Styela clava: one gene and its partner. The protein of the gene in region 1 purifies or fractionates together with the protein of each later gene. This does not show direct contact. Links are inferred from orthologs where the notes say so. Each region holds a gene or a part of one and is shown on either strand. Other genes may lie near its edges. The genes, in order: protein HGV2-like and histone acetyltransferase type B catalytic subunit-like.

Region 1 (17,587 bases):
AAAGGCTCAAAATTTCAATTTGTGACAGATAACGATGCTCTTGTTAAGCCATGAAAAGTCCTCCCATTATCTCGCATTCAATTCAATTCATCCCAACATCACCGTTGTTAGCATTTTTCAGCCCCCGCAGTCAATTTCCGGAATGAGCTTCATGCCGCTCAAAAACGATTAAGGACTGATTGAATACAAAAGGGAACCTGGATTAATAGATGTTCCCATTGTAGAAGTAAGCGGAACCTTAGTATTAATTTGATACATCAGCAGCTAATAAATTGAGGACATTTGTGAACTAATCCATCAATAAAATATTTAGTAATATCCATAGTTTAGCCCATCCTGGTGCCTAATCGGATTTTATCACGCTACGTGTGGCTCGGGTGGCTACAAACATCAAGCAATGTGTTCGTTAATGTGCTGAATGTCAGCGTTCGAAAGAGCAACATCATACACGTATATCCAGATGACAAATATCCAAGTTCCAATGCGATAAATTCAACTCTGTAAACGGTGATATATTAGGCACCCTTGGTTTTAAGCAAAGGCTACTACTACATTCTGATATGTGTAGAGCAGGGTGGTCCAAGTTTGTTGACCTAGCGGGCCACAATATTATTCTCGGATTGTTATATAAATTATATAATAGTGCCAATATTATAAACAGTGCAATACAAACATCGATCATTATTTGTCATTTAGCTAATACATTTAAAAACCACCCTTAAAACCCACTAAAACGTGCAAAGATCTTACCATATCCACATTTGGTGTAAGTTTTCAAGCTCTTCAGAAACAGAAATAACAAAAAAAGTGTCTTAAGGAGTAAATGTACTTTTTCATTATCACCGACAAAACTCACATACGTAGTAAACAAGCATTGTGGTACTTTCCCTCCCATATCCAGTCAAAAATCTGTTTGAATTGGTTAGCATTCTTTTTAAACTCATGTTTACAAAATAACTTACAGATAACTGCAGATCGATTGATTGGAGAATTTTACCAAATTTGAGATACAAGGTAATTACTAATTTTCTGACATATGGGCAGCATTTTCTGCAAATATATTTTAGGCTGTTTGTAAAAATCCATCCGACAGAAATTATACTATTCGGCCATTAATATTTAGTTATCAGGCAAAGCCAACCTAGGCTAATGGATTCTTCATCCGAATTTTAGTTTTCTATGAAGCCTATTTTGTTAGAATATATTCCCAACCAAAATATATATGCAAAGTTAATTAACGATTTAGACTAGCCAAGCAAGCACATTATTCAACTTTAACTCTGGTTATTTTCATGACAAAACAATACCAACCAAATGCGATTTTTTGTTTAGTTTCGCACAAATGCGACGCGGGCCTGGGTTTGGACCACCCTGGTGTAGACCGTTTCTCACGTTGGTTGTATCGTATTGAAATGAAGAATATAGTTCGTTTCCGGTCTCAGCGATACTTGCCCCGATATCAGTTGAAGATATTGCTCATCTGACTTTAATCAAATTCGGACGAAAAAAATCTGTGTAGGCAAGAAACTGTGGGTGCACCAAATACCTTGCTGAGATAGGAACACGGTAACGTTTTCACTGCATCACGGAAGCACACGTCACAAGTAGCCTATAGCCTCCATTAGCAGAATAGCAGACCTACTACAGATTTATTAGGGAGATGAGAATGGAAAGGAAGTCCTATATTATATAGTCTTCACATGATACCAGCTACATTTGTCTGTTTTTTAGATTTAATGAAAAGCAAGGATTTTGAACAAACCATGGTCGTTAATTATTATAGTAACTAGTCAAGAATCTCCTATCTTTTTTTTTCATTGACATTGATTTCATGGAAATAAATTTCAAGGAAAGCATATCGTCATATATTATATATGTATAACATATTAACGTAACATAACTTCACTCTTTTGAATATGACATTGCCCTGGTTAATTGCATACCTGTTTTCGCTTTCTCTTACACTTTGGATAAGATTAACAAAAATGCCAAATATTAGAAGAACACGTTGCAGTTTACAGCGATATATGAAACAAACGAGCACACATCAATATACAATTGATTAACATGTTATTCGTAGGTTCAAAATAACATTCCTTTTTGTTCACAGTAAATGGCGGATTCTCAGTGATAATATATTCATTAAATTGTGTCCAAAAATCTTGGTTGGACAATCAAAAAATAAATGAAATAGGTCTTCAATTGCAGTTTCACAAAATCCATAAAGATTTGAATTCACCAGGTTAAATCCATATAAAATATTTTTAGCACAATGGCTTTCAGAAAAAATTTAGTTTGAAAAGATCTCAATCTAGTTTCATTTGTTGAATATTAGTTATTTGAAAATATGCAGCCAATTAAAGTCATTAGGTAAATTTGGATTTTCTTCACAAAACCTTTGTTGTTTTTTACCGGATAAAAACTCATCAAAATCAAACATGTCTATATTCTGTAAACAATTAAAATCATTAAAATTCTCAATACAACCCATCCAACTTTTTGGTATGCAGACAATTAATTTACAATAGTCCCTATACTCATTTACATTGTACTCTATACCGTACTGTTCTATCAGTTAAAATTAAAAAAAAATACAGAATTTTTGTTCACCAAATGATGTAATTCCCAGACTCCGTTTTCTTTCCAATTTTTATAAAAAAAAAATGGCATTCTTGCATATTGTAATTTTTTGTTGTACCATAACGGTTCAATATAGAGATGTATATTGGCATTAGATGGTAATTCCACATATATGTACCAGGTACAAAGTGTACCCTTAATAGTTAAAAAATGAAGATTTTTTATGAAGCGAGAGTTATGTCACAAATTTCACATCAGCAAACTATGTAATTCTATATCTCTCTTTCGATTTATCAATGAGGTGATACAACCATTTCCGTTTTTCAGAAATGATGGTAGTTTTTAACGCCTACCATATCAGTTCCGTCTTTCATTTTGGGACCAATCAGTGTTTTACGTTTAACTATTTCCCGATTTGAGTTCCACAGGAGACGAAATATTAATAAATTCAGTGATTTTACAAATTTTTGGGTATAGTAGGCTAACTGGTAAAAATGTACATTGATGAGTAAAAAGAGATAGAATTAATGATTTGATTACACACACTTTTCCTAGGATTGTTAATATTCCCATACACCAAATTTGGATAATGTTTTGTATTTGCTGCAACTTAGACGGTAAGTCAAGTTCATATAGCCTAGTTGGTTTAAATTAGTCGTAGTTGTAATTTCCAACAATTTTAATTCATAATTCCAGTTGAAATTGTTGAGAATAATTTGTACAATTATATCATTCTTAAGTTCCAATATTCATTACTTGTTATTTTCCAGCATTTGTTTTGCACCCTGGTATATTGTCAAACACTTCAGCCGTTCGAAATAAAGTTTTCTATGCTTTTAGATCAACCATCAGTAAATACTACGGTATCATCTGCAGCTAGAGCTATTTCAATTACGTTTTCTGTTATTTTAAATCCAGTGATATCTTCGTTGTTACGAACCATATTTGCTAAATGCCTATTACTATCAGGAATGAATACGATTCGATTAGGTCGCCTTGTTTAAGTCCTCTTTGTAAAATTATTGACACAGAGAAGAAAATGTTGTTTGTTTTGGTTATAAAGAATTTTTATCCACGAAATGAAGTTGTCTTGAAATCCGAATGTTTTTAGGTTCTGGAACAGGGAACACCATTCGAAACTATCAAATGCTCTATGAATATCTAATCCAAATATTGTGTCAGGTAGTTATTTCATTGTATGTTGTATGGTGAATTATATCACAGAGTAGTCGTATGTTTTCTCCCATTTGTCTGTTTTGAATAAATCGATAAATAAATTTTAATATTTGTGAATTATATTGTTCAATTACAATTTGAATTTGTGTCGCGAGAACTTAGCATTTGTGTATTCTTATGCTGGTACTCGACAAAATATTTCTGGCCCGTGAAATTTTTGATGATAGGCAATGGTTCAGCTGCCATGTGTTAAGTGATGACGATGAGCCACACCACCACCGCGCCGGTAATTAAGAAATTTATGGGTTCTGTTTTTTGAGGTAACCCAGTGAATGCGCTTTTACTATTATTTCATGACTCATCTTGTCATCCAATTGGCACACTTTCTTATATATATATCGACCTGTAGTTGAAAGTAAAAGATGACTGGAAATTGCGATGAGATTGGAAAAATGAAAATTACTTTTATATTATGCCCTTTTTGTTTGAATGCTGTAAAACATTTAGATATTTACTCAAGGTGATCGAACTATGAGTATCCAGTATCTATAAACTACGTAAAACAAAAAAAGACAACTGAAAACGTTGAGTTATTTCAATATTTATGATTTTGTAGCCTATAAACGGCCTAACGGGCGTATATTGAAATATGATGTTGCTGTATCTTTGGATGAAAAATCGTTATCCCTATCAATTCGATGCCTCATCTATTCAGTCGACTTAATAAGGTTGACACTATAGGCTCTGCCGTTGGTATCTGCACCATTATGTGGTGTTATATTAAAGACAGTCGGGGATGGGGTGATACAAAAATAACAGAGATGTAACGTCAAAAACAATCGGATTCGCGTCGTACGATTTCAATTCGACCAAAAAAAATTCATGATTTTAATGAGCATATTCTGCATGGTCATAAATCATTTATATAATACTCGCCTAACCTAAAAAACCTGCCAACATTCACCCATTTATCACACTTGTTAAAAGGGAGACTGAGTGATGTTGCACAATGTATGTGTTAGCAGATCTCTATCCGGTATACCATATTCAAATTCCCAGAAAACTCCACCCAAAATTCTTAGCGAGACTGAAAACGAATATTTTCCTGTTGACCTATAGAGATTAATGTAAACAACATGCTGGTCAACAAATTTATCCCATTCCTCGCTATTATTCCGATGAGACAGATCAGTAATTAAAGTTAATTAGAGGCATTAGATAATTATCGTTTATTTTATCGAATTGCTACGTATAAATCAAATAATACATTTAATTAATTATAGTATCGTTGACGTGTGATGTTTTGTTGGCAGATAGCAATGCAGTCTTTTAGTAAGACTAGACTAATCTTATATCACTAGAATCGAAATATTTTCAGGAATCACGTCAAGTCGACTGTTCAAGTGGAAAAAGCATGTTTATATCAACGGACTGCAAAATGATACATGATCCTTCCGTTTATAAAATTAGTATCCGCATATGCATAATATATACTTCTGTCAAGTATCCAAAACTGAAATGTCCATATTGGATCAAGTAGATTCACTGATCACTATTGCTCCTGGCTGACCTTGCATTGGCGGATATTGATTGATACATTCATTCTTCAACGTCATGGTAGGAGAAATGAAACCATTGTCAACCAAAACTTCAGAAATTTTTTGAAGTTGAAATACGTTGATCCGAGGTGTTTTGGCTTTCACGAATGCATTCCAATCTGACGCAAGAGTATATAAAATCATGTTTAATCAGCAAATTATATCCAATATTGATATCGTTTCAATCATATATATCTTCGAAACGAAAACTTAAAACCGATGTAGATAAAATATTAAATGAAGCCTAACAATATAACCATGATCATCCTCCTATAAATGCCCTTTACAGCTTAAAAAGCGGATTCTAGAGAAGATTTTTTCAAAAGAATTAAATCAAAAGAAGGTGAAATGATGGAGGACGACAAAATTGTGGGGCGAAATGTCGGGTCTCATAAGGTATGAAAGGTTTTAAAATATACGTGGAAGAACAAACGTTTTCATGCGGTATCTCATGAAACGCAGCTTTATTATAAAACGTGTAGACTACAACGGAAGAGGCCATTCAAATGGGTATCCACACTCATATCCATCGCTACTCCTAATACAAATCGTTACATACCTCGCCCATAGAAGAATACAGCAATGAAATAGCTTTCGTAGTCGGTAAGGAATGTTATATCTGCATCCAAATGTCGGCGTACAAGTGGGTCGATATCTGTTATTTAATAAAGTAAAAGCAGCATGGTTTTAACAAATTATGAATTTAATAGGTTGTTCTGTGTCATGTCTACCTTCTGTTTCCGCATATATCTTTTTTGTAGCGAATCTATGGAACATATCTGTATATGTCTTCCCTGCAAATAAAAAAAGGGTCGATTGTCGAAGTATAATTAGAAACTCAATATTTTTTGAAACAAAGATAAAATTTTTCACTCTTCCAATGATGGTGCTCTACATACTTACGGTCAGATTCTGTAGTATGATATTTTCCAGATGGTTCACGAGCATATTGAACATTGTAAAGTCTACTTTGTCTGAAAATTTATAAATTCATTTGTCGGAGAAGATGAGAAAATCAAGCACATAAATATAAAAAAGAAATACAGGTACTAAATATAATGATGAATAAAAACACTTTACCCTTCTGCATAAGTTTCAACCGTGGCAGTAACAAGATTTTCAAAACAGGTGAAATTGACAAACTTGCAACATCCTATTGGTATCTCCGCCTGTGGAACATCGATAATGTCATACAATGGCAGCATTTGCTGAATCTGAAGCAAACATATATGAATATTTGATAAAAATATTTACCTTTGAATACAAATTCAGATACAGTATATCACGACTCAAAAATTTTCCAATAACACTGGACATCTTTAATAGTTGTAGTTGTGAATGGTCCATTTAATCTCAGGGTTTTCATTTTACGCGCGAAATTCTATTTGTGTGGTGTGTTACGTGTGTATGATTGAATCTTCGGTATACCAAGGCGCTTTGAACAAAAGTTATGTTCTTCGCAGGATATGTTCCGAATAACCTCTCCGGCGTTGGTGACTAAGGATCTAAGTATGATTACTTTAAAGTATTCGATTCTTACCCGAATTCTAAATTTTCGATTCCGATTCTCGATTCCGAATTTCGATTCCTCAACATATATATTTCCGAGAAAACATACACATCTAAGCTATACCATATGAAATCAAACAAGAGAGCGATGTTCGAATATATGGACGGACAAGAAGGCCAAAACTAAGTATAGTATGGGTATTCAATCTGTCACAGGAGACTAAATCGCGAAATATATATACCGTATATATATAGTGAAATTTGCGACGTCGTAGCAACTCAACATAGCAGTTTATACATACCGGTATATGTGAAGAAATTTCCACAAAACGTTACGCATTGTTTGCAATCCAAGTTTTAACCTCGAGAATCGATTCCAATGCATAAAATTGATTCTAGTCGATTCCGCAAAGAATTGATTCTGTAATCGAATCCGGATTCGATTCCGCCACCCCTATTGATGACAGACAGCGTACCCTGGGGGAGAGGGTGTTGGGGGTCGGACCCTCGCCACTTTTTAAAATTATAATAGAGAATTTTCTGTATTATCCACGGTAAATTTTCGTAGCTTGAAATGATTTTATATTCTCAATATTCTCGAAAACCAACGTTTTACAACCTCCAACCGGACTCGCTAGATGTTACGGTCTGATTTGAATCCTAGAATCACCCCTAGAATTTTTTGAGGGGGCGTGAAGCTAATTAACAAAAAAAATTTTCGTTAGATTTGATCTTGCCCGCCCTATTTTGAATATTTACATTTCTTAATTTATCAGCCAAAAACAATTATTCACGTTCCGTCCGCGCATTGTCAACGTATTTTTAGAATTAAACATACTTCCGGATTAACTATCTGTTATTTGTATCTTATTGTGAGCTGGTTATTTTTGAGGTGGGGCAAGAGACTTGCTAAATTATAGAAATGCGTCGCGGCTTAAAAAGTTTGAGATCCACTGGATTAGATAATTCGTTTGTATTTATGCCTCAAAAATTCAACATTCAAGTTTTTTTGATTAAGGTAAAATTATTTTAGAGGCTTGAATTTATGAAAATAACGCCGCGGGATGATCACTTTTCGACGCACAGCGCACACTGTTTCTTTTGTGGTCTTTCGTGATTCACAAGCTTTTGTTTCATCAATTTTCAAATTCTAGTCGTTAAGGTGTCTCAGAATGTTTTAACACAAAGTTGGCAGCCCTACTCCCACCCTACACACATGGCTAAGATATCGATTTTCTGGTTCGTACCACGCACGAAGAAAGTCTTACTGAGAACGATGAACTCAAAAAAACGTGCAGCTCGGGTAGCCATTTCCAAACATTGCAAACTGGTCCGTGTTAGTGTGAAGACGAAAATCAAGAACTGAATACGCAACATATATGGCGGTTATGGTCATCATATGGACTGGCCTACCGCCGTCCACACACGGTAGCACTTTTGTGCAAAATGTCCAACTTTACTAAAACTTGTTTACACTCAATTTTCTCCATTTTTATATAGGTAATTAAGAAATTTATGGGTTGGCATATAAGAATATATATGTACTAACAGGCATACGTACGTACCTTAACCCAGTCTATTTCTTGCGTAGATAGTGCTGAAGAAGCTTGTGTAATTATATTTACCGAATATAATAAACACATTATTGCAAGAAGTCCTAATACCGCCATAGCCTTCGTAGGGAAGAAATGTAGGCTACTATATAACAGTGAATTAATGCTAATAAGTAAAGTAATGAAATCAAAGGCAGCGTAAATCTGAATAATAATAACAACAAACATTTACTATACAATTATGCCCGAAATTGAGTATAATAAATCCAACCTTCATTAAAATTTTAAAATTGGTCAGATAGGTAGATTTATATATATATATATATAGTTCGATAGTTAAAACTTATTTCCGGTATCATAGAAAATGTGAAAAGTACTTATTTTAAGAGATAGCGCTTGCTTACTAAGCATTCGATTTTGAAGCATATTTCCTTGTAATCATACTTCAGTAAAACTGCCGAGAGTTGCTTGACTTCACGAGTTGTAAGATTCCAAATCTGCTTGCATGCTTAGCGCGGTTTCAGAGTATATATCATAATATTGTTTATGTTATGTAAATCTATCGCATTATATGCAGGTTTTCTTAAGCAACGCGTAAGAAAACGCTCTGCCCGAGAAGACGAATTGTAACAGAACATTTTATCAAAATCAATACAGTAATGCTGCTGCTGTTCTATTGTTGTTTCTAAAACAAAGTATAAATCAGTATCACAATAACATTTTATAGTTAGGCATCTTTCGGTATGTTGAAACGAAAGCTAGAAAGCCATATAAATTGAACCGGATAAGTACTTTTCAAACTTAAAAACAATATTTTTTTAGAATAAACTATTCTATTACTGTGCTATAGAATATAATTTTTCGTAACATATTATGATACTAAACTGTTTTGAATACTACGGTATATTGAAATAAAAGTAAAAAGAATTTTTTAACTCCGACTACAAGTAACATCAATTTTTCATTAGCAGCTAAAACACCAAACTCGAATGACGCAATTGAGCCCAACATTTACAAGTATTCAAAATCCTTTTGCATTAGCATTGCGCACAAATATTTGCGGATAGCAATTTGGGGAAATCTGTGGTAAACTACTGCTTTTTGCCAATGGCGAGGGTATAAAATATGACATTGCAAACAGTGTCGACAGTTAATATTAGTCGTATTTATTTTCTGTCCCATCTTTTTCCAGTCTATCGTAACAAGGGCCATATTAGGACGATGCGAGGCTCGCCTTATGGCCTGGGTTACTCAGGAGCACACTGAAATGTACCACTAGATGTGATTATATCTGTTCGAAAGAATCAATTTACAGTCACATAGACGAAAAATCTAAAGTAGAGCTAAGATCACTTCCATGGGAAATCGTACACTGTTCTTCAAGCGGAACGGCGGAACGCAACCTACGCACAACATGCTACGTTTCGCGCCGATTTTACGCACAACAACAAAACATTGCTGAGTGAAGAAATCATTGGACAAGCGTTTCGTTGATCACTCGAAACTTTGGTCATTTTGTTGGAAACGTGGCGCTGTAGGGTTGATTTTTTGTTGACACATGGTTTATTTTCGAGGACTTGTTTGGTCCTATTTCTCTTGCGGCATCGTCTGGTTGCAGGTATAACCCCACGGTCAGGAATTGCGGAACTCGAGGTTTTGATATTCTGATATTGGCCAACTGACAGATTGATCAAATTCAAAGGGCTGACTTGCTGAAGAGACACCTCCTTATTCTGCATATCCACCGCCAAAATCGGTGAAATTTTAAAAAATAAAGCTCAGAAGTGGACTACTAAGTCCAATATTAGAGTATTCTTCAATATTAATTTTAAACTACAGAACTATCTTATTCACGGGACAGCCTGAGATCACAAAATCAAGACACCATGGTTCAAGACCCAAAATCAGATGATGCTCCATCAACTGGACAGGGACAAGAGATAGAGGCGTGAGTTGGCTTGTAGACTAGGCCTTTTTCATTCAGTATTTTTTTCTGATCATCTTAATTCTGAAATAAATAAATTTCTGATCTTCGAATACCGTCTGACCGTACTCAAATCTGCAATTAATAAATTACGGTAACCAAATAAAGCTTGACTTGGTAAATTAAAAAAATGGCTCAATTCGGCAGTTGCAGAATTAGTCTATGTTACCAAATGCAAAAAATGTGAATATTTTTAGATTTCAGTATTTGGATGTGATAGACTATTCAAATATTAACTTTTAACTTGGCGCGGCGGTGTGGCTCAACGGGCTAAGCGTTAGGAATACTCTCGCCACCGCACCTCTAATTACTCTGCGTGGGTTCGCAGGTTCGAATCCCATGCAGGGATGGTTATGTGCGAGAGGATTGCTGGACTCCTCGCCGTCGTTCAGTCGTTGGGTGGTTCACGTAACCGCTGGTCGGTTACGGCTTCCTCCACCACCAAGTCCATGCTTCCGAAAACAAACAATACAGTAAAACTAATCCCATACCCGACTTGGAATGGTAACCGGACGAGAGGCCGTGGTTCGCCATATGGATAAGCCGTCTTATCGGCTTTCCTCTCCCCCCGGGATAAATATGTAAATCCTATCCTATCCTAATATTTAATTTTTCTCATATATGGTACTGTCTGATTGTAGGTTATATAACAGTAAAATCCTTCTCCCTATCTCCTTGTTTCTGTAAATGAAGAAATTAAAATATCGTTGCTAACTTACAGAGTTAGTCAGAAGACTGGAATAGCAGTTGCTAAAAGTGTCATGTCGGAATAATAGTTTTTTTTCATGTTTCTATATTTGTAAAAAGTTATCTGTACTTCGCTTGATTCAGTAATATGAGAAATCTAGCTATAATATAATCTCATCTAGAACTTTTAATTTCTGCCTGCAGACATATTTAAATATCATAAAAAGCATTCCTTCACAAGCCACATGTTCAATCACTGTAACTATAGTTTTGTTGATTGATATTTCTTTCAAACAAATTCATTCCTTCAGGATGAGGTAATTGCAACCCAGAATTCAAGTGTATGACCTTTAGTGTTGTGTATGTATTTCTTGGCGATACAATTGTTTCAAAAATTCATATTAATTTTCGACAGTTCGAAAAGTTATATCTGTATTTCATACCACATATGCTATTACTAGTGGTTGAATTTATTAAGCCAGTGTTTAATTTGTTGAATGCTTGCAATATATTAGTACAGATCTGCAGACTAGAACATTGGTTGAGTCTTAGTTAGATAGCCTACATTCGATTTAAGTGCGCTATCGATACTTTGTATTTCTATCTATTGTCTTAAATTCTCCTATTTTACCACATTTTTATTAATTAAAATTTTCTATTTCAGACCTGTAGATGTTGATAAAGAAATCAAAGACAACATGGGGGCAGGCAAAAAGCATCTCTTATGTAGTGATTATCCTGAAGCTGTTGCTTGTTTTCAGGATGCATGTACCTTACTGTGAGTTAAATTAGGTATTTCCCCAGTTCCCCTATTCCTATTGGTATTTTTTCTGAAAATTTGTGCAATACAATTTCGCTTTGTTTGCCATTGCCATTGTGAAATTACTTACATATCATTCGATATTAGTTGGTGCTTTGTTCAGAGCGATAAGTGTAATATAAAAGAATAAATTGTAATGATCCGTCACATGTTTTTTTCCAGTTATAATTGTGTATTTACAGGTCAAACAAGCATGGGCAAATGGCTCAAGAATGCAGTGATGCATATTATTACTATGGAGTTTCTTTACTAGAATTGGCAAGATTGGAGAATGGTGTTCTTGGAAATGCGCTCAAAGGAGGTAAGCTCAAGGTTTTTCAAAGATTGTTCAATTCAATAGTAACCTAACTATCTGTACGAATAATAAAGCTAACAGAATTTAGTCTCTTTTACTTCTGTCTACTAAACTTATATTCATTTTTTCATTAGTGCCAGAGGACGAGGATGAATCTGACAAAGATGAAGAACAATTTGAAAAAGCAGATCTTCCAGGTATAAATCAGTGTTCCAGTGTTTTTTTCCATCCTCTAGCTTTTATAATTTGTATTGTTACTCCTCTGCCATAGCAACCTCCTAGGTACTGAAAAGAAAAAGTTTTGTTGCGTAATACTGATAACTAATAATGCTAAATATTGGAGGATTTGTTAAGTAACAGATGACAATTACCATCACATACTCTCACTCTCGCATTGTCATATAAGAATCACATGTATGTACCTTACTATGCCATTCAACATTGACGTCCTTTTATCTATCCCTTACAGCTTGTGACCAATATGAAGCGACACAATGCGTGTTATTTTCAAATGTTATTTCCACATATTCCACCATTTTGCTTGAATCAGTTGGTGTTTTATATCCCAGACATTGCATTATATAACACAAATGCAGTGTAATATTTCCCATTCCTATCAATTACCTGCTGCCAGTTTATTTGTACTTTTTAATTTTTGGTACCAGTCCACAAGTGTAGAAATGTTGAGAGCTATTGGTATAATCCAGTTTTACTCTGGATTTTATCTTGGAAAAGATGTTTTCGCAGAGTAGTCATGAAAACTATTGTCTTGTTTCATGTTCAATATGAATTGTGCAGGATGAATCTGTTATCCATGCATATGTTTTAGGAAGTTGAATATCGTGAATTTGTACTTTGTTTCAACTAACAACTTAATCTGAACCAGAACTCCTGGCTCATTGAAAAGACTAGATTTCTCTTCTAGTTCTCGTTCAAAGGAATTTCCCCATAGGAGTTCTAGTGGAAAGTATCAGGTCTCTATAATTTACAATCCGAAATATTAGCACTGTCATGATCTCGAATGCCACTACGCCCACTAGTCAGTTAAAGTAAAGTGTGGATATTGGCTAACTTAAACATTGCTCTCAAGAGGGGGAGCGTGAAAAATTGAGAGAGGAAGTTGAGGCTGCCATGGCAACAGAGGATGAAGATGCAGCAGAGGAGGAAACTGAGGGGAAAGAGGGTGAAAAACAAGAAAAAGAATCATCTACTGAAAAAGGTCCTTGCACCCTTCCTAATGAGTGTTTTGTCACTTTTTTGTTGGACTTGCACATTATTCAGTGATATTTGTTTGAATTCTTTGTTCTATCACTTTTATTGTGAGCACTCCAACATAGCAATGTTTTGTAAATTTATAAACACCATATTTTAACCAGGTCCCCTTTTGTGTGTGGTAATAATCAAAATTGAATAGATAAAAAATATAATAAATCTGCCATCTTTTTTTTAATCGTATGTGATGGGTTTCAAGCTTTTATAGGTAATTCTTGCCCTTATAGATGATATATTTCAATGCTATTCATATATTGCTTCAATTGTTGTGACCAAGGAAGGGATGCGAGGACCTTGGAAGTCTATAATTATTTTTAACTCTGCCACTGTACAGAAATATTGGAAATTCCAGATTCTACCATCGAATTAGTTTTATGGAATCTATAGTATTGATTATTCATACACAAAATCGATACTCTTTCTTAATTCAGAAAAAGGCGATGAAGAAACAAAGCCTAAAGATGAAAGTAAAACAACAGAAGGTATTTAATTGTATATTATGCCATCAATTAGAGTTCACTTTTTCATTACTTCAAGTACTCTGTTTTGATATTTTAGAACCCAAACAAAAGGAAGAAAAAGGAGAGGAATGTGCAAAACCAGTAAGTATTCGATTCGGCTAATAGTCATTTAGTTATATTGAGATAAATAAGGGAGTCAGCTACATACCTTTCTCTGTTCCTCGCTTTTGTTATGCTCTAACAAGATTGTCATAATTATCCTGTGGTATTGGAAAATCTAGCTCAATTCCTTTGAGGTGCATGAACTAGTTATGACTCGGGGAAATTTTTAGTAGATGGTTAATTGATTCTATCTTTTCCAGGAAACCTCCGAACCTCCGTCGAGTAAATCTGAACCTGCCAAGGAGGATGAGGCTGAAGAAGATCCAGATGATATATCTAATATGCAACTAGCTTGGGAAATGTTGGAACTTGCAAAAGTTTTATATAAAAAGTAAGTTGAAGCTTTGTTATTTATAACATTTAAAGCAGAATGCTTTTGAACCATTCAAAACAACTGATGTCTCCTGATTCCGGACTGACAAAAATTTCACTCTGCTATCATCTTCTCAAAAATCAAAAATTTCTAGTCTCAATTTCGGCATCGGAGAGTTTGGAAAATAAGACAAGCTTTTATTCTATCAACAGTAAAAACATAAAGCTCCACTGATTGTGGTTAACGATTTCAATAAATTACTGTCTAAAAATTTACATTATAATGTTGCAATGCAGAAGAGAAAAAAGTAAACCAAACAGTCTCATGATTGCTCAGTGTCATCTGAAACTTGGTGAATTAGGACTCGAAGTGGAGAATTATCCACAAGCCATTGGAGATTTTCTGGAATGTCTTGTCGCTCAAAAGGTATGATATATATATTTCGCGTTATCTTATTTCTAGTAATTGTAACAAAGTATTCACTTCACATATTAAGATTCATTATCATATATTGTCTTCATACAATACAGGAAATTATTTTTTTGCCCTTCAGAGAAATATATCATATTCAACATTGCATCATCTAGTTTTCACCATGATCAGAAGGCATATATTGGTATCCTAACATGTCGGATACATTACCATTTGAAGCCTAGTGAAAAAAATTTGTGTGTTGTAGCATTTGATAACGTCTTTGATAATGACATAGTGTGTATCCCAATTAACGTAACACTGAATTTGTAGGTATACGTCTAATAACTGTGTCAATTATCTTGTTTCAGTTTTATGATTTTGTTTTCAGGAACACTTGCCAGAGACAGATCGTAAGCTGGCAGAGACTCATTATAATTTGGGTCTTGCATACAGCTTTGAGAAACGATATGACAATGCTCTCGAACATTATCAAAATGCTTTGAACGTATTGGAATCTAGAGTTGGTAGGTATTTGCGGTTTCTAGTTTATTGAGAAATGCTGGTATTATTTGCATAATTAAAATTTCTCTCTCCAAATGTCTTTATTCATGAATGCTCTTTGCTCTTCAATCACTTGATCAGTAAATTGATTCCTTCTAGTGCATCTCTTACTTGTTCCAAGTGATTTCATTGCATTTCTCACTAATTTTCGAAATCTAGTGGTAATAATTAATATTTAGTCTCTATCAACTGAATTTTCGGAGTGCATTAAGATTTGTATCGAACTGTTTTCAAAATGAATATAATTTCTTTTGGCACACCCCACTTTGTATTTATATTTCAGAACTTCTTGAAGAATTGATTGAAAATCAGGAAGGTGAGAAGGAAAAGGAATCGGAGACAATTGCTGAATGCAAAGAAATTGGTGAAATAAAGGAATTGATTCCTGATATTAATTCGAAGGTAGGAATTTAGAAAGTAAACTGGTAGGTGGTTCTTTGTATATTGGAAAGCTGTTTATATGGATTTTGTAGTAAGTAAGCGTATGATCTTGTTGATAATAGTCTGGCACCAGTCCTTAAGATGTATTAGCATATGTGGATGTGGAAGTTATAACAGCATGTATCATTGTAGTTTCTCATGCTTCATTTCAAGGGAATGTGTGGTTTTTAGATTATATATTGCAAATTCTTTGATATGGATAGTGATCCATTATCATTTTTTATAATAGCATTAATTCTAGTTTCTAGTACTGGTACACATCCATTTTCAGATCGAAGATGTCTTACTCGTAAAAAAACAAAATGAAGGTAGATTGGAAGGATCTCCTTTTCGTCAATCTGCTGGTGAAACAAGTACTGGTTTTGATGCCGGCACTTCAGGATCACAGGATAAACCCTGCTCATCTGTAAGTATTGGGTAGCAAATTTTATAAATATTCAATTAGTGCATAAATGTTGAATCTAAAACAATGGCGTGAGGTTTTAGAAGCAGGTGGATTTAGCGATACTTATACTTATTTCAGATTCCTGTTCGTAAAGTTGCTCCAATGTCCTCTGCTGCTTTTACAAGCAAAGATTCATCAAGTGACATCTCACATCTTGTTCGTCGAAAGGTATATATATATTGAACACATATTTAAATCTAAATTAAAAAATTTCCCTCGGAAACTTTTTTGCATGTGTGTGTGGAAAACATGTTTTTTTTAATAAGTGTTAATACGTAAGAATTAAGACGGTATGAATTCTTTCATATTTTTTTTTTTTGAAATAGAACAGAATTCTGAGATTTGGGAAACTTTTGACAGACGCCTCCATTCTATTTATTACAAGGAAATTTTCTCAAAACAAGGTCACGCATACTTGCTCCCAATTATAATGAAATGTTCACTGAGCGGAGTTATGATGACCACTACAGTGCCAACGGACTAAAACCATAGTCTGGGACTAAAGCCATAGTGTAGAATTTCGCATTTAGTATATATTAACTTGTCAATTTATTATCAGCGACCTTCCCCTGATGAAGAAGAAAATTGTGCAGAATCGGAAGGTGATTCTAAAAAAGCCAAACAAGAAGCAAACGGTGATGGTGACAAAAAGAATGGTACTGCTGTTGCAAGTAATGGACATTCTGCGGAGAAAAATGGACATTCAAACGGACATTCCAAGACCCCAGAAAAAGTGAATGCATATAAATTGTTTGATCTTAATCCTAATTGTTAGCAAGGATTTACTAACCATGTTCTGCTATGAATATTGTTCGCCCATGATTGATTTTTCCTGCTAAAATTTATTTCAGAATTCTTTAAAATTACCTTTTTTTAGGCTGCTGAGCAATGTGAAGATGCAGCCGCAGCTTTAAAGAAGAAGATGGCCGCTGCTGGAGACGCTCCTGTTGCCATGGAAACTTGAAGGGATGGCCACGTCACTACATTGAAAGGTTAATACCCTGTCACACTGCCAGTCTTTCTGTTACAGTTCTACAGAAAAGTTACAAGTTTTGTTAAGAGATGCTTCAGACTACATACTTAACTTGATTATCTATTATGACTCTTTTCTCTTCGCATTGGAAGATACTGTTATCGTTTCTGTGCTCATGTATACTCTGCCTTTTTTTGCAATGTGCTATTTTTCATTGTTTATCTTGTTATTTCACCACACGAGGTCCTACGCCCAATGGATTAAACTTAACTTTTGCAGTTACTATGCTCTTATGGTAAATGCACACCACCACTACGTTCCAGGCACATTGGTAGTAACGAGG
Region 2 (16,622 bases), on another chromosome or scaffold:
ATGGTTCGAAAATTAATTTAAATACATGGAGTTGTACATTGTTATTTCGAACCTTCATAATGCGCTAAACTTACTGGGAGATGGGTTAGATGTGCTGAATAAATGAAATTGCATTGATATAGTTGTTTTATGCATTGTAACTGATAATATGAAAGAACCGAGTAATTCGTCGTACCAATCATAATAATAGCTATAGCTTACATCAGGCCTGCCCAACCTGTTTCGTCTCACGGGCCACTTTCACTTGACGAAATTCGTTGCGGGCCGCAAACGTTTGTACCAAACATTAATACCAGCAAAGTCCTAATTTCGGTGTAGATAATTTACATAATACGTAAAAGGCAAGTTAATTAACATAAAATTAATCACGTAAATAATTGCTTTCTGGTTATTGGGCAGGGCTGGCAAATAATTCGAATATCAAGTCGAATATTAGAATAGCAGTTTACTATTCGAATATCTGGTAACACGGGGAGTGGACATGACACTCGCGGGCCGCCGAATCAAAGAATCAATTGCGGTTTTTTGACGACCACACAAGAACACATACATCGCGTCAAAACTGAGTGTTATATTTGAGTTACAGTGTTTTCATTCATTTATTTTGAGTAGCAATGATACTACCTCAATGTTTAAATGAGCATAATGTGCGCCAATGTCAAAGGAATATCAAGTTTAAGTGGGCCGTTTCGTAACATTTGAAACACCAATACAAGTACTTAATGAAGTAACATTACAAAGACTAAATACGACTAAATACGATTTTCAATAATTTTTGAAGGCTCATATTTTTTTCAATTTTCATCCTGCTGGTGATCATACTTTGTTGTTGGACACTTCAGTTATACTTAAAAACGAAATCATTGTCAAAAGTTGTCGGAAAATAAAATAACATATTCGAATTTGGCGTCGAACAATCGAAGTCGCACAAAATACGACAAAATGCGATTTTAATCATTTTTTGAAGGCCCATATTTTTTTTAATTTTCATTCTGCTGGTGATCATACTTTGTTGTTAAACACTTCAGTTATACTTAAAAACGAAATCGTTGTCAAAAGTTGTCGGAAAATAAAATAACATATTCGAATTTGGCGTCGAACAACCGAAGTCGCACAAAATACGACTAAATACGATTTTCAATAATTTTTGAAGGCTCATATTTTTTTCAATTTTCATTCTGCTGGTGATCATACTTTGTTGTTGGACACTTGAATTATACATATAAACGAAATCGTTGTCAAAAATTGTCGGAAAGTAAAATAACATATTCGAATTTGTAGTCGAGTAATCGATGACGCATCAAATATGACAAAATCTGATTTTCATCAATTTTTGACGGCCGATATTTGTTCCGATATCCTATACTTCATGAAGACTCGCTTTGTTCCTTACCCCATATCATATATAATACTTGTGACTATCTATATCATTCAGAATTACTCTTATAATTTGTCGGCATTTCGTGGATTATATTCGAATTTGGGCTCATACATTACAGTTAGCATTAGTAACATTGCAAAAAAACCTACCGATATTTTTGGCGTTCCATTATGTGATATTAGATTTTGTTTGGTTTTTCGTGCTGACATATTCTTTTTTTATGTGATTCTCCGTCATGTGAATTTTATTTATGTATTTTATAATTACCAGTACCAGCTTAATGTGCTTAAACGTATCTTTTTCTCCGGTGTGTTTTTCTCGGAACATTTAATTCTGAGTAGGATCCGTTTATTCGTAATTAATATTATTAAAATTAGTTATATTCCGCGTGGGAATCGGTTGAAAACTGCAGAATATTTTTCTGCTGAAATTCTGCTGGATTCACAGTGGTCTTTTTTCAGTGGGATGTAGCATGAGTCCGTTTTTTTTCGAATTTCCGGGAGTCGGTTATCACAATAGTATTTCGACTTTGAGATTTTGTTTTGTCCAATGACATATAACAATTGTCATATGCCATTGAATTTGTCAGAGCATTTCGGGCCTCTTGACCGGTTACCAGTCCGTGTCGGGTATGGTTAGCCAGTTTTCGAAAGCATGGACTTGATGGTGGAGAAGGTCGTAACCGACCAGCGGTGGCGTGAACCACCCTACGGCGAAAAGGAGTCCAGGAATCCTCTCGCACATAACTATCCCCGCATGGGATTCGAACCTGCAAACCCACGCAGGGTAATGATGAGCGTATTTCTAACGTTTAGCACGAGGCCCCACCGCCGAGCCAATATGGTAAATAACATTGAAGTGTATACACCTCAAGGGTAATAACACATGTTTGTTCGCGTTACTAATATCCAGGGGAGGTCGCTACGCTACCCGCGAGGGGAAATGTATAGAAATATTTTTAGTAAATTAAGAAGCAGATGTTTGTTTGAAATTTGTTGGAGGACTCGGAGCGTTGCGCCGGAGTCGAATTTTTCCAATTTTAAGGTTCGTGATCACTCAACCGTGACGAAATTTTATTAATATCAACTAGACCTCAACTACCTTGTATGACCCAAATATGGCATCTATGCCTTTCACCATTCTCGAGATATAACGTAAAATCACTGGAGCATGACTGAGTAGCGGGGGAAAAAAAATTCTTTTAAAATGGATTCAAATAATTTTTCTAAAAATGCCCATGCCTTTTCTTTCCTAATAAGTCCCTTCAGAGGCCTGCAATAAGCCAAAATCACTAAAAAGTGACTGGGGGATAGGAGAAAAAAAATTTCTTCAAAAACATGTTAAACTAATTTTTCCAACCATACCTATCTATTTTATTTCTCAATAGCTCCATTTTTGGGTGCGCAACATTTTACGCCACTGGATGGCGATTGGGAGGGGAAGCACCGATTTTTCGGTAAAAAAAAAATTTAAATTAGTTATACTCTTTGAGAATTAGGCAAGTCTTTGCCGAAAACCCCATTCATATGTCTCACAATCTCCTAAAAACAATAGAACCTAAGTGGGCGTGGCTTTGCACGAGTTTTCTCACCACAGAGGGCGTGGGAGCAATGCCCCCACCCCCAATTATACTTGGAATAATTCCCAATGCTCGGGCAAACGCTTTCCGATTCCGGAAACAAAGCTAAATGGCCTCTAAACCCCCAAATCACTCTAGCATTACTGACTGACAGCTTGATTGACCAATAAGCAGCTCCGGGCCACTAAAATCCCATTTTAACCCACTTCCATTGGCCCGATCGTATCCAAAAATTTTCTGTGTTTGTTTGGTAACTACCTCCCGCTTCATGCCAAATTTCGTCCCGATTGGTCCGCCAGTTTTCTGGGAAATGGTAATTCTAACGCTATCTCTTAACAGACTTCGTCAAATTATTTTTGCCCTACGCGCAAAGTCTTTTGACCATTACTGTGCTTTCGCACTAAAGTGCTACAAGTTTGCCTGACCAATAATCATAATATTTATCTACAACCTACACTTTGGTTTGTTTCCGAGCAACGTCCGAGCAAAGTAGGGCGGCCCCAGCGTAAAATTCTTTGTCGTTGCATGAATTCCGTGTATAAATTTATATTCCTGTTTAGTTCATCGTGTATTCATTGCATAGATGGTGGCTATGTATTGCATTTAGTTTTCCAGCTTCGTTGAAAATCCCAGTTCTATAAATAGCACCGATTTGAAGAAGTATGAATCATTGCTATGAAAACATGTAAAACACGTAGTGACAGGTTCTTATCATGAAAATACTTCCATTCAAAGGACTTTGTATTAGCATAGCTTGTATTTTTACTGATTCATTCTATCCTTGGCCTTTTAATGTGAACATTCTACCCTACCATACTTGGTCATACATAGTGGGTTGAGTGGTCAAATTCTAAACAATAATGAAGCAATCGATCGTCAAAGCGTGTCGTTGTAACGATGCGCGTTGGCTTGTTTACGACTTGTCGCGCCTATTTTCATCGATATAATTGCATTTCTTCAATATTGTAGCTTTGATGCCCTAATAATTAGGTCGTGACGTCATTAAATCTCCAAGTGCAGTGGTGAAATTTAAAAACTAAATCATGAATTTTTTGGTAACTATTTTAGCTATAATCATGGTTGCGGTAAAACCATCAGTGGAGTTTCAAAGCATATTGGTTGACGATTTGAAAAGAAAAAGAAAAGTGCCAATATAAAATAACAAAATTTGAGTTCGGTAGCATTGGGTTAATAACATGTCATATTAACGAATAATTACAATTTGACTCATTAAAAATTAAATCCGCGTGGGAATGAAATAAATATATCCGGGGCAAGGTGATTTCTTTAGGTCGAAGTTTGGTTCTCATCGGATTTATTTTGAACGTGAGAAGTCTCTCAGCATTCCACGATGATTAGGTCAACTGTTCTCAGGCTTGCACGAGGTTAGTTAACTGATATTATTGTTATACACTTTGCTCTATGTCACATTGATACCATATTATTGTGTTTGTTATGGAGTTTTCAAAATAAACTATCTATCTAATATATTGGAAGTAGTACCGGTACCGGTACGGTAGGTACCGTAAATTGATATTTTCGGTCTAGGATTTCACAATTCCTAATTCCAGTAGTCTGTGCACCGGGTAATGCTAGAATAATTGGGTCTCATGAACTTGTAGTGGGTGTGGCATAATGATAACCCCCACCTGAGTACGTCATCAAAAATTACGTCACTGCACCATCGTAGCGGTTGCTAAAGTCAGAAAGGGTATAGCTACAATCGTCCGAAATGGCCTCTGTACCGACTAGAATATAATGAACTTACTAATGCCAGCAATCTCTTTCTTGTCAGTACGGTTACGACGAGAAAACAAGAGGAATAGCTTGCTCGATTTCAGATGTTTGTCTGTGGATATTAGACCGTATACTTTGGAAGGCCTTATTATTTTGGCAACACACTGTTTATGGCAGTATTACAATTTTGAGAAGTCATTTTGACTGCCAACGCCGCAATGTGTAGATATGTCACCAATATCTGAATTTTGCAACAATAACATCAAAACAAAGATATAGACGAACTATCAGTAGAGGTTACGTGAGACCAACTCCCAATCCTTCCCCAATGCATTGGTGCTCGTGGATTTGTATGCGTATAACAGCAAGGATGTTGTATCGAAAATAAACATGACCATACTTGAATAGCATAATAAAATACAGATAGTCGTATGTATATAGTATTTCTGAGTTTGGACAAAATACCCAACAAAATTATGGAATGAACTGAATGGAATTTCTTTAACTCCATTTTCTCATTGAACTTTGCATATCGAAATATAAGAAAAATACTGTAATATTATGTTTTGTATTAACTGTAAAAGTCTAGGTGTGATTTAAAATGTCAATTTTTTTGTTGATGGCTTGCAAATACATTTCATAGTTTTGCAATAGTTTGTTAATAAAAGCTTTGCTTACATCCCAAATATTCCATGGCTAAATATACTGTACTTTTATTACAGTTTCCTTCGGACAATTATTCTAAATTTTTTGTAAAATAGTGGCTTGATGAGTTTTCTTAACAACTTTGTGTTTTGAATCAACTGATGTCCACTGACAACTTGTGCTAATAAACATTTAGTTCAGAGTTGATAGAATCTAATGTGTACTGTCAGTTCCTACCTTCTCGCACTGAAGCGCTCTTTCCTAGGAGTTGGAAACTAGGACATTTAATTAACCACACCACTGTGTGCTATGCAAAATTAACCGGTTAACCTTCGTAATTATAAATTTCAATTGTTTGACATTATTTTAGAAAGTGTGGATAAGCTTACAGTCATTTAAACAAATATCCATTTGTTGGATGACATCCAATTGGTAATCCTTAATTACTGTCATAGTTGAATCATTGCTCATGGTCAATATTATATAACGAAACACTAGCTTGTGAACTTATTAATGCTGCATTTCCACCACCAGCAGTCAAAAGTTAGAAATATTTTTTTACTGGTAAACTAGTGTTATGATTCAGAAAAAAGGACATTGATAATTTCATGAATGGGTGGTCGGTAGGGCAATATTACCAGGGGTAGATCACATTCAATAACCTTTGTAAGATTGACTGACCCAATCTGCTCGTCACCACCTTAGAAAAATATTGTGCATTCATTATGATAATTTTACTTCAGCACCACTGCTGCAGAAAAGAATGTCTTCAGGCTTCAATAAATATCCAGTTTTGAAAAACAAACTTTTCGGAATAAGCGGAAATGCCATGCTTGCTTCTGGTTTCTCATTTTTTCTAGTAGCAGTACTGGTGGTAAGATATTTAAATTTTTTGCACCTGAAAATTTGACTACTATAAACTATATACTGTACTATATAATTATGAAACCAATCAATTTGAACTTTCCATTTCAAATTCTTATCAGTTAATGCAAGTTTCCAATTTAAATATGGCTTAAATCGAAACATATTCACCTTAAAGTGTGTTTAATAGTAAATATTTCAATTTGACATATATTTTCAATAGAATCAGGATACAACAAAATAATGAATTTTTTTTTTGTATCTATTGACAGGTTCAGAAAAGTGGATACCTCATTCCACACACCATTGGGCCAGGATTAAGTCCCGTGGGGAGAATTGAAATTGATCTCACTCCCGATGAGCTGAAAAACCGATAAAATCGTATAAATTTGCTCTGTTCCAATTTTAGTTTTGTTCAATTGAATATTATATGTCCTGAATTCTATTTGTGATAATTTGTCATACTGCAGCGCACTAAGCTTTATGAGGAATACCATGATTTTGTTTTTAAACCAGTTAGCATTTGTAGTTGTGAGGTGGCCAGGATATTTATGTTATATGTAATGTAGGTTGTAATACTATTTACACAGAGTTAGTTGGTAAAAACTGGAAATAGCCAACTACCCATTATTATATTTTGTAACGAAGACAAATGTAGTTGACAAACTGGCGAAGCCAATTCCAACCAACAATAGAAGGCAGGATAGGATAGGATTTACATATTTATCCCGGGGGGAAGAGGAAAGCCGATAAGACGGCTTAATCATATGGCGAACCACGGCCTCTCGTCCGGTTACAGTCCGGGTCGGGTATGGGATTAATTAGCCAGTTATTTGTTTTCGGAAGCATGGACTTTAAGGTGGAGGAAGCTGTAACCGGCCAGTGGTTACGTGAACCACCCTACGGCGGCGAGGAGTCCAGCAATTCTCTCGCACATGATCATCCTGCATGGGATTCCACGAACCTGCGAACCCACGAAGGGTAATCAGAGATGCGCTGGCGAGCGTATTCCTAACGCTTAGCACGATGCGCCACATCGCCGAGCCTTGTCAATACGCTTAGCACGATGCGCCACACCGCCGAGCCTAGTCTATGGGATTCTCATTCGTATAAAAATTGTTAAATTTAGGTCTACTAAATAAGACTACGGTACATGTACAAAGAAACATGCAAAACGACAAAATTTATCGACTTCGTCAACTTTAAAAATCCAGAACTATTATAGGTAACTAACAAGAGAGTCATGATCAAATCTATGGAAACGAAGTTCATAACACGAAAGTCAAAACGAATTATTTAACCATCAATTCTTCGAAAATCATACGATATCCTGAACTGCAGAACAGCCACGGCATCTTACCAGTTTCTGTTATCGATGCGTGGACTGTGCTAGCTCTTCCAGGCGGGTCTATGACGATTCATGATTGAGTTGCAACGTGAATTGGAGTACGAATCGATCCGAGTCCCTACTGTAATATCATTTCCAGTACTGCCGTCTCCATAAAAACCACCGACTTTGACTTTTTGATTTTGGTTGACGTCACCCAATGACATTAATGTCATTGACGTCCCCACACAAAACTACAGTTAGAGAAAATGAATTGCACAAGACCCACAGGACGTTCCAGAGTTCCCCATTTTTAGTTTGTGTTTGTTATTATGGATTTTTATAAATAAACTATCTATCCAATAAATGGACCCAAGCATCGATTACCTTGTTTATTTCCGTAACAATAACCAATCAGCAAAAAGTCAACGACGACGTAACAATTTTTAGCATCCGCCCAGACGTTACTTTGCTAACACAGATATTCAAGCATGGTTATAAAAATTGCCTCGGTTTCGCGTGTTATTTGTCAGTTTTCAATTGTGTTTTCGAAATTCATTAGTGAATGAAGTGTTTTATTTGTCATTATGTCTTCCGATGAGCTATAGTTTAGTTGCAATAATCAAAGATTAGCCTCGGCAAAGCTGCGATAGACTGGACTGAAGTTATCGTTTTAAGTTATCGTTTTTTATTTATCATGTTATTCTTACTGTATAACTTTTTTATGGTTGTGTGTGTGGGTGCGTGTTTAGGTGGGTGAACACGTACCGCTTCTTCTTGGCAAAACCTTCCATCTTATATACATTCTGTACGTTTTAAACCTTATCTAAGGTTTTGTTTGCTCTCCTGATTTCATGATCAGTTTTTTTTTTACCAATCATTTTATTGTTATGCTGATTATGAGGTCGATATAAACTTATATTAAGCACTTAAATCAGTGTGCAAGTGTCAACTCTCCAAAAAATTTTCAAAATGAACATCCAAAATTTTGCAATAGCAAGAATAGGGAATATTTTTGGGAGAAAAGTGGTCGGGGAAACCTGGGAAACATACCATCTATCTAAGATTCTATAGCCTGATTGTGAAGTAGTCTACCTTGACAACCGATGTGCTACTTATCGCATAGAGACTTTAAACTTATGTTAGAAAGTTTCATGTACCTACTATACAACAATTACATTCAATTTTGCCTGATAACATATGTATTAGTGTTGCAATTTTATATAAAAATATTTGGGAGTGGAACATTTTGCGTCGCTAGCCCGATGCAATATAGGACTATTAGGAAGTCATTATTTTTGCATGTTGAATTTTACGTATCTGACAAAGTTTGGTCCAAGTATAAAGTTTGTTGTAGCTCAAAAATGGATCATTTCTGAAACTCGAAAATTATTTGTACGGTTTCTCAAATTTAATCGTGTTTGCTATAGCGAAAATCATACCTGTCACTCAGGATTGGATTCGCGCCACAGACTCAGAGACTCATCGAGTTGACCATTCTTTCATTATTTAGAGGCGGATTGGCACACACTTTTTCTATTCTAGATTCTAAAACTGATGTAGGCCAATAAACCAGGAATAAATTCAGTATGTCAGTGGGTGGTATTTGTAGACTTCTTGACAATTGGAGCGATACGGTAACTCATAAATGCTGGTTCGTCAGCAGGTCCACTTACCTGCTTTTAGTAAAAGTTTCACTATCAGATTAGCGGTACCGTACGGTACCGGTACCGGTAACAGTATAACGTTACACCATGCAGCCATGATTGTACGAAGATCAAAGATGCTCATTTTTTAATCAGATTATTTCACATAGGTCTACAGAGTCATTGAGAGTGGAAGTGGTGAGTCGGTGACTCCTCTTCGGCCCATGGGCCGGGGCCACGGCCCATCAAATTGGGCCTCGGCCCATCAGGCTATGGGCCGCGGCCCATCAAGTTGTGTAAAGAAACTATTCACTTGGCTAACACAAACAGTCCCCAAACTCATAATAGAACTATAATGTAAAAAATCTGAACAAATTTTTGCCCTAACCCTAACCTGGTACACATACTACAGGAGTTTATTTTTTGGTTCGAATATTGACAATTTTGTAAAAATTGAAAATTTTGGTAAGATAATTGAATTTTTCCTGACGGGGCCGCGGCCCATAGCTTGATGGGCCACGGCCCATGTGGCCCAATTTGATGGGCCGTGGCCCCGGCCCATGGGTCGTAGAGGAGTCACCACCCCTGTAGGTCATTGAAGTCTGAAAGTGGTGAGCATTGTAAGAAAATGGGAAAACAAGATGTTTTTGGTAAAAACACACTTCCGGGAAACAGGGAAATTAAATACCTCCAGGTCAATATTTAAGGAAAAATGATGCACATGGTACCATAGTGAATAATATCCAGGCATCTATAATTCTTATATTCTTGCTATATTGTAACTCATATTACTTTTATATTTATTTTTTTTTGAACATAGAGTTATAATCTGTTGCATATTTCTGTACTTGACTAATATAAATATGGCTGCCGGAGGCCTTGATGCATTAAAGAATAATATTGATAAATATATATGTTCTGCAAATGATGCCGTCTGTTTCAAAATGATTCAAGATACGAGTGACTTCGAGAACGAAAAGAAAACATTTCATCCTGACATGTCGCACCAAATCTTTGGTGAAAAGGAACAGATTTTTGGTTACGCAGATCTAAGAATAGATTTATTTTATTCAGCAACTCAATTATTTGGATATCTTGGTATGAAGTATTCGGAAAAAATCGACCCAGAAAAATTTGGCGTTGAAGTGGATAATATTAACAAAAAAATGGAAGAAGTTCTTCCTCCTGGATGTTGCCAAAGTTTAGATGAATATTCATCTCATCTGCAAAAAGATTCAGATTTCCATCCACATGGTGAAATGGTATATCAGTATAACAGAACATACAAAGATGGAACAGAGAAAGTTTTTGAGATGTTTCATCCTAGTATTGAAGATCCAGGTTTTCGAGAATATCATGGCAGAATGCAGACATTTCTTTATTGGTTTGTTGATGCCGCAAGTTACATAGACATAGATGATGAAAAATGGGAATATTACACCATTTTTGAAAAACGATCCAGGAACTGTGGGGAATTTACTTATTTATTTGTAGGATATTGCACAGTTTACAACTTTTATGCTTATCCTGAACATATCAGACCTAGAATCAGTCAATTTCTTATATTACCACCATATCAACGTCAGGGCCATGCGACCGAAATCTTGGATGCTATTCAAAAATTATTCTTGACGAGAGAGAACATTAGAGATATATGTGTTGAAGATCCATCAGAGAATTTTCAACGAATACGAGATTTTATTGATTGCCGAAATTGCATAGACTTTGACTGCTTTCAACCTGAAAAACTGCCGAACGGATTTTCAAAATGCATGTTTGAAGAATGTAATAAAAAGTTGAAGCTTAATGCAAGACAAACTAGAAGAATATATGAAATTTTGAGGCTGAAAAACACTGATATTTTGAATGAAAATTCATTACAACCATACAGGCTTGAAGTCAAGAGACGACTCAATCAACCATTCACGGCAAAACAGTATGGTAAAAAGTTGGACAGTAGCATCATGCCATCTAATGACGAACGATTTAACATTCTGGAGAGCGAGTTTTCACGATTGCTGGAAGAATATTTACCAGTAGTTGAGAGGTTGAATAAAAATGCTATGTGATGAATATTTGTTCAACTCCCAGTTACAAAACTTTCTATTGATATTGTTGAAATTATTTTTGTAAATTTCCATTGTACGATATAAGGTTCCAAATTTATTATGTCAGAAATCTCACAACTGCCTAACTTAATATTTAATGTATGAAATTCCTAGAGATGGTATAATTGTTATTGGGTATAGCAGTTTACAGTGTTTGTTCCTAGATTGTTACTATTCATGTTTCAAACACACTTTCTGGTCTTATTCCTGCTTATTGTTCCTGTATAAAAATATTATTATGTGTCTTCCACTGACTTCTTTATTCAATGTGAAATAGCATCAGTCAGAACCCAAAATTATTTTTCTAATGCAAAGTTGGCCCCAATATGCAATAGCAATGAATCAAGGTTGGGGATTTAAAATCAAAAAGGTTGTTGGCTTACTAGGCAGGTAGGTCTGTTGGCATTCGGGTCTGTTTGTTGTTGGCAACAAAAGTTCGACTCTCGAGGCAGGTATGTATTCAATCACTGTGAATTGGCCATCAGGGTGCAGCTAGGACTGTTTAACAGTGAAATTAAAATAGGGCACCGAGAGTGCCATTTATGACGACGCAAGGCGTTTAAAGAACTAAAAATAGCGTCGCCCGAGCGAAATTCCTGAGTTACGTGTAGCTCGCCTCCCTTTGTCAGGCGTCGTTTGCTTGATTGTTTGAACATCTACTAATCGTCGACCTTTATTTCATAGTCAGCGTTAGCATGTCGCGTTCTTCGCTCTTCATTGTTCATAAGTTAGCTAGCTATTTGCCGGAGAAAAACTAATGTAACTGCACTCTCCCGAATGTTAAAACGCCAGTACTTCTCCATGACCCAAGCCTTGCGCGAACGTGTTAAATGTGCACGAAATACAACGGAAACAAAATGAATATAGAAAATAAACGAATGATATATGCCAGTGCTTCTCAAACAAATTTCTTGTGTGTAGAGAAATATCAATCGGATTCGTAAGAAAGTATTTCTTGAGTAACCGCATTTAGAAATAAACGATAAAAATCGTGAAAATTACTTTTAAAGAGAAGTACAATTACACTCGCGGATGTCAGTGGCGTTATAATCATTCATATGCACAAAAACAATCTCGCATGTTGCATCGATCAAATGTCCTGAAATGTGAAACTATTACTTGTAATTTAATGTTAATCAAGTAGAGTCGATAAAGTGTTTTATTGACATTTATTAGGATATTCATATTCGCCGTGATTAGTGGTGGGCAAAATCTTTTTTTTTTAATTCGAATATTTGAGTATTGTCAATATACCTTATGTAATTTACTAGAAAACTCGGTAATTTTGTTATAATCGCTGATTTTTTTTTTGTCACCGCGATCGTTTTGGCGGCCGACATCCCAAATAATACTAAAAACTATATTGAAGCACTTTTTTTAATCAAGTATTATTTCTCACGCAAGGGCGGACATCGAAGTTTGGTTTTTATATTTTATTTCATGCAAAAATATGATTTTACATTGGCAAAGATATCAAAAAAGCTAGTGAGGAGTGAAATCACAACACAAATTAATTTTATTTTGATTTTTAGCGTAAGATTCAATCCTCCATATATATTACACTTTGTAAATTACGGTCCCAATTTTAACAATATTATCATCACTGACCCCGGGAAGTGGATAATTATGAAGCTGACAGTTGACTTTTTTGCGCTTTTAATATTATATCTTGTCCGTGTTATTTTCGTGTTAAATAATAATTAAAAACTCCGCAGATTGGTCATCGAGTATTCAACTCAACTCAGCTTTGAATTAAAATACTGATACTAAAATAAATCGAGAATAATGTCATTTATTTCTAAAAGGTAAAATCAATATTTTCCCCAAAGTATCGGAAAAATTTCGATAAATACAATATTTACCTGCCTTATTTTATATCTGGTTTGAAGTTTTCAAATTCACAAAATGATGTTGACGCGCTTTATGCAAAATTAGGAATTGAAATGACAGGCGCAAAAAGAAAACAATCGTTTCTGTAAGTGGGTGACAGTCGTAGGTAAATTCTCACTCTTTAACTCTTACTTGTAAATTAATGGTAATGAAGTCTAGTTTGTTTTTCAATGACGGCCGTGACTTGGATTGTGTCGAGATTTTGAAAAGAAAGACCCTAAATTATCATATACCACTTTTCTCCGTTGAACGCCCAAAACGGCGTTTAGTTTGGTTCATTTATCCGTCTAGATTCTAATCTAGAGAGAAAGGAAAATACACCGTACTGGATTGCATTCAACAATTGCACCTCTTTATCGCGGATTCGACAATCGCCATTGAGGGTTTCCAAACGTCGAAGAATGAATATCCTTCTGTGATGTACTTTTAAGATAAATTCTTTCGATGTTGCTGCAGTTGGCAATTCTTCATTAAAAGACCATGCATGCCATTTGAATAATTTTATTTTTCACTTGATTCTGAATATTGTACCATCGCTTGTCAATAAAATCAACATGAACTATGCCTATGGTAAATATATGAAGTATTACGGTGATAAGCGTCCATATCAGCGCCAACTAAAAATATAACATATCCTAATAGCAATATCGCACAGAATATTCTTTTGACCACGAAAACGTGATGCGCTGGCCCTAAAATGACGCCGCAGCTTTTGAGCAGAAAATATAAATTTGCCCTCAAAAAATTTTACAGCCCGCATCCCCACTGGCTGCGCCTCTTCCGCATCATCTACTTATTCAAGGGGGCAAAGGATTAAAGCAAGCAACATTCATAATTCCAAATTCTTGGTTGAACTATCTACATTGTCGCTCACTGACAATACAAAATTGCCGACTTTTGAAGATTTATTAGCAGTACCGGTAACAGTGGAAAAAACAAAGCAGCACTGGCATAAAACTGCACTGTGAACTTAAAATATGAAAAAAATTGCCTGAAGTAAAAAAATATATACCAATAAGTCACCACTCAATGCATAAATTTATCGTTGCAATTTGAACACTGTTAGAGTTTAAATTTTGGCAAGTGCATCGTAGTTAAAAAAAAATACTACAGCTCGTATCTGGAATATCCAGAGTTTTGTTGACTGGTTATTCTAGCAAGTAATTCCGGCAAAGTTTTGAAAATAGAATTTTCAAGTTTATCAATTTCACATCCATTAAAATATCTACAATACTGCTGCAAAGGTTTGAAATCTGTTAAAGGATTCAAAGAAAAAAATTCAGAATAAAGGGAAGGTGAAGGCATGTCAAACTGACTGACACTGTGTCTTGACCAGACATTTTGAAAAATATTGTGATGTTCTGGATGTGATACCAAGTCTTCTATTATCTGCAATACAAAAAAAAGACTATGCAGAAATATTACTTGAGGAGAATATTCAACACGATGAAGATTTCTCAATAAACTAGTGATGTCATAATATTCAAATTACGGCTCAGTAAAATGTTTATAACATATATTTTACTGTGCAAAAAATTGCAAAATTTACTTGCTTTTTACATCAATAACACAGCATATGCCAACCATATGTTGGAGATCATTGTGACACATATGGCTCGGCGGTGTGGCACATCGTGGTAAGCATCAGAAGTGTGCTCGCCACCGCACCTCTCATTACCCTGCGAGGGTTCAAATCCTGTGGATAATTATGTGAGAGAGGATTGCTGGACTCCTCATCGCTGTAGAGTGAGTGACTGTCAAATTAATCCCATACCCAACATGGACTGGTAATCGGACGAGAAACCGTGGTTCGCCATACGACTAAGCTGTCTTTGCGGCTTACCTCTCCCCAAGATAAATATGTAAATCCTATATTACAAGTTTATTTTAATTATTTATAGCATTTGGTACGATTCTGGATTCGAAGCTTGTGCCCAGAATTAGTTGCAGATGATATTTTTGAACTTCCAACCAAATATATCACTCAGTACAACTTTACAGCTCATTTTCATAGATTTCTTCCTTGTACTTTTAAGATAAGAAGGCCAGGAAATTTTAACAAAAAAAATAAAACATTAACAGTATACTCACTGCATCAGGGTCTTTGAAAAAACTATTCCTCTTAATGTAAGCTGTCAAATATTCATCAACCAATAATGAATGAATTCTTACTCTCTGAGCATGTTGTCTCACAAAAGCAACTTTGTTTTCAAGTCGATTTTCAATTACATCATTCAAATCCTGTAAAATAAGTCATAAAATACATATTTGGGATTTTAAAGAACAGAGTTCTATTTCTGCCGAGAACAGTTCCTCGAATATGACTTCTATATGAATGATGCAATTGTGTGTTAGTGTTAACACAACCAACTTCTACGACTACAAACCATGTCTAGAGGATATAGAATATGAAGCAGGTACTTATTTCATTGTCTAAAATCAGATTAAAAAATGATAGGCTGTAGCTTGCCATATTGGTCCAGCTTAAATGATTGACATTTTTATAGCATAAGAGATTTTTTTGTTTTATGCTGTCTTTTTCTTAAACAACTCTTGATTTTTGTAACATAATTTGGCATATTTAGGACTCTTTGTAAATCCTCATACATACAGATCATAGCTTATATGAATAACAAGACAAAATAATCAAGGTATGTCCGGCAGAACCCCGGTAATATCATCAAACTGAGACCAGAACGAAAGTCATAGATAATTAAAATTGGTTAGCAGAGAGCGGTATCACTATATCGATTAAGAGATCCTTAACTGACCTGCAGTAGAGACATTTCTTCTTGTTTGAAAAGTGCAGTGTTTGTACTAGGTTTGTATTTATAAGGCCAGAAAGAACCTGTATATATTCTAGGAGGCTCTGTTACATTAATCAAAGGTGCCAGACTCCAGAATAAAGCACCATATACCCTCATCAGTTCTTGAGACGAAAGACTGTCTGCTTTATTTAGAATCAACCTAAAAATGAATAATTTGAAATGATTCGTAAAAGGGACACAACATCTGATATACAGCTGAAAAATGAAATTCGATTAAAGATTTATTTATGAACTGAATAAAGAATTATGGGACTTCCAGAAGTATGCGCACCACCTGAAATAGGATTCAGGTTGTGTGACATCTTCGTGCGCATACTTCTGGAGCACCAAAGTATGTCATAATCATATGCAGGGTTTGCACCGGATAGTTTGGGATTCGGTATTCTATATTGCCCATCCCTACTGCAAACCCATGCAGAGCAATCGGAGACGGGTGGCGAGCGTGTTCCTAACGCTTCGCGCAATGAGCCACACCACATCGTGGAATTTTCTATACAAGTTAAACTCACTCGCCTTATTTGTGATTCCTTTCCTTTAAGTTGTTTGAATAATGTTTCAAGTTCTAAACCAACATCCAACTTAGTGGGATCAAACACAATGAATATCAAATCAGCTTT

The links.
Region 2: the proteins of protein HGV2-like (region 1) and histone acetyltransferase type B catalytic subunit-like purify together in Homo sapiens (affinity purification with mass spectrometry; 3 studies listed by BioGRID and IntAct, with this or other methods). This does not show direct contact. The link is inferred for Styela clava from reciprocal best matches to the Homo sapiens genes NASP and HAT1.

Annotation. Positions count from the first base shown.
Region 1 is NC_135259.1:2,808,780-2,826,366, forward strand, and holds protein HGV2-like, read left to right. Parts: upstream 1-9,876; 5' UTR 9,877-10,302; coding exon 10,303-10,364; intron 10,365-11,751; coding exon 11,752-11,865; intron 11,866-12,089; coding exon 12,090-12,208; intron 12,209-12,336; coding exon 12,337-12,399; intron 12,400-13,292; coding exon 13,293-13,421; intron 13,422-13,905; coding exon 13,906-13,956; intron 13,957-14,032; coding exon 14,033-14,076; intron 14,077-14,297; coding exon 14,298-14,428; intron 14,429-14,706; coding exon 14,707-14,836; intron 14,837-15,212; coding exon 15,213-15,348; intron 15,349-15,668; coding exon 15,669-15,787; intron 15,788-16,097; coding exon 16,098-16,232; intron 16,233-16,349; coding exon 16,350-16,439; intron 16,440-16,830; coding exon 16,831-17,004; intron 17,005-17,148; coding exon 17,149-17,235; 3' UTR 17,236-17,526; downstream 17,527-17,587. Other genes in the region: uncharacterized protein LOC144428011, read right to left, coding at 5,289-5,473, 5,914-6,009, 6,086-6,131. UniProt on the Homo sapiens protein: Component of the histone chaperone network. Binds and stabilizes histone H3-H4 not bound to chromatin to maintain a soluble reservoir and modulate degradation by chaperone-mediated autophagy.
Region 2 is NC_135263.1:14,088,294-14,104,915, forward strand, and holds histone acetyltransferase type B catalytic subunit-like, read left to right. Parts: upstream 1-10,042; coding exon 10,043-11,248; downstream 11,249-16,622. Other genes in the region: uncharacterized protein LOC120340976, read left to right, coding at 4,312-4,345, 6,086-6,216, 6,479-6,583; sarcalumenin-like, read right to left, coding at 14,285-14,566, 15,269-15,418, 15,949-16,144, 16,519-16,622. UniProt on the Homo sapiens protein: Histone acetyltransferase that plays a role in different biological processes including cell cycle progression, glucose metabolism, histone production or DNA damage repair. Coordinates histone production and acetylation via H4 promoter binding.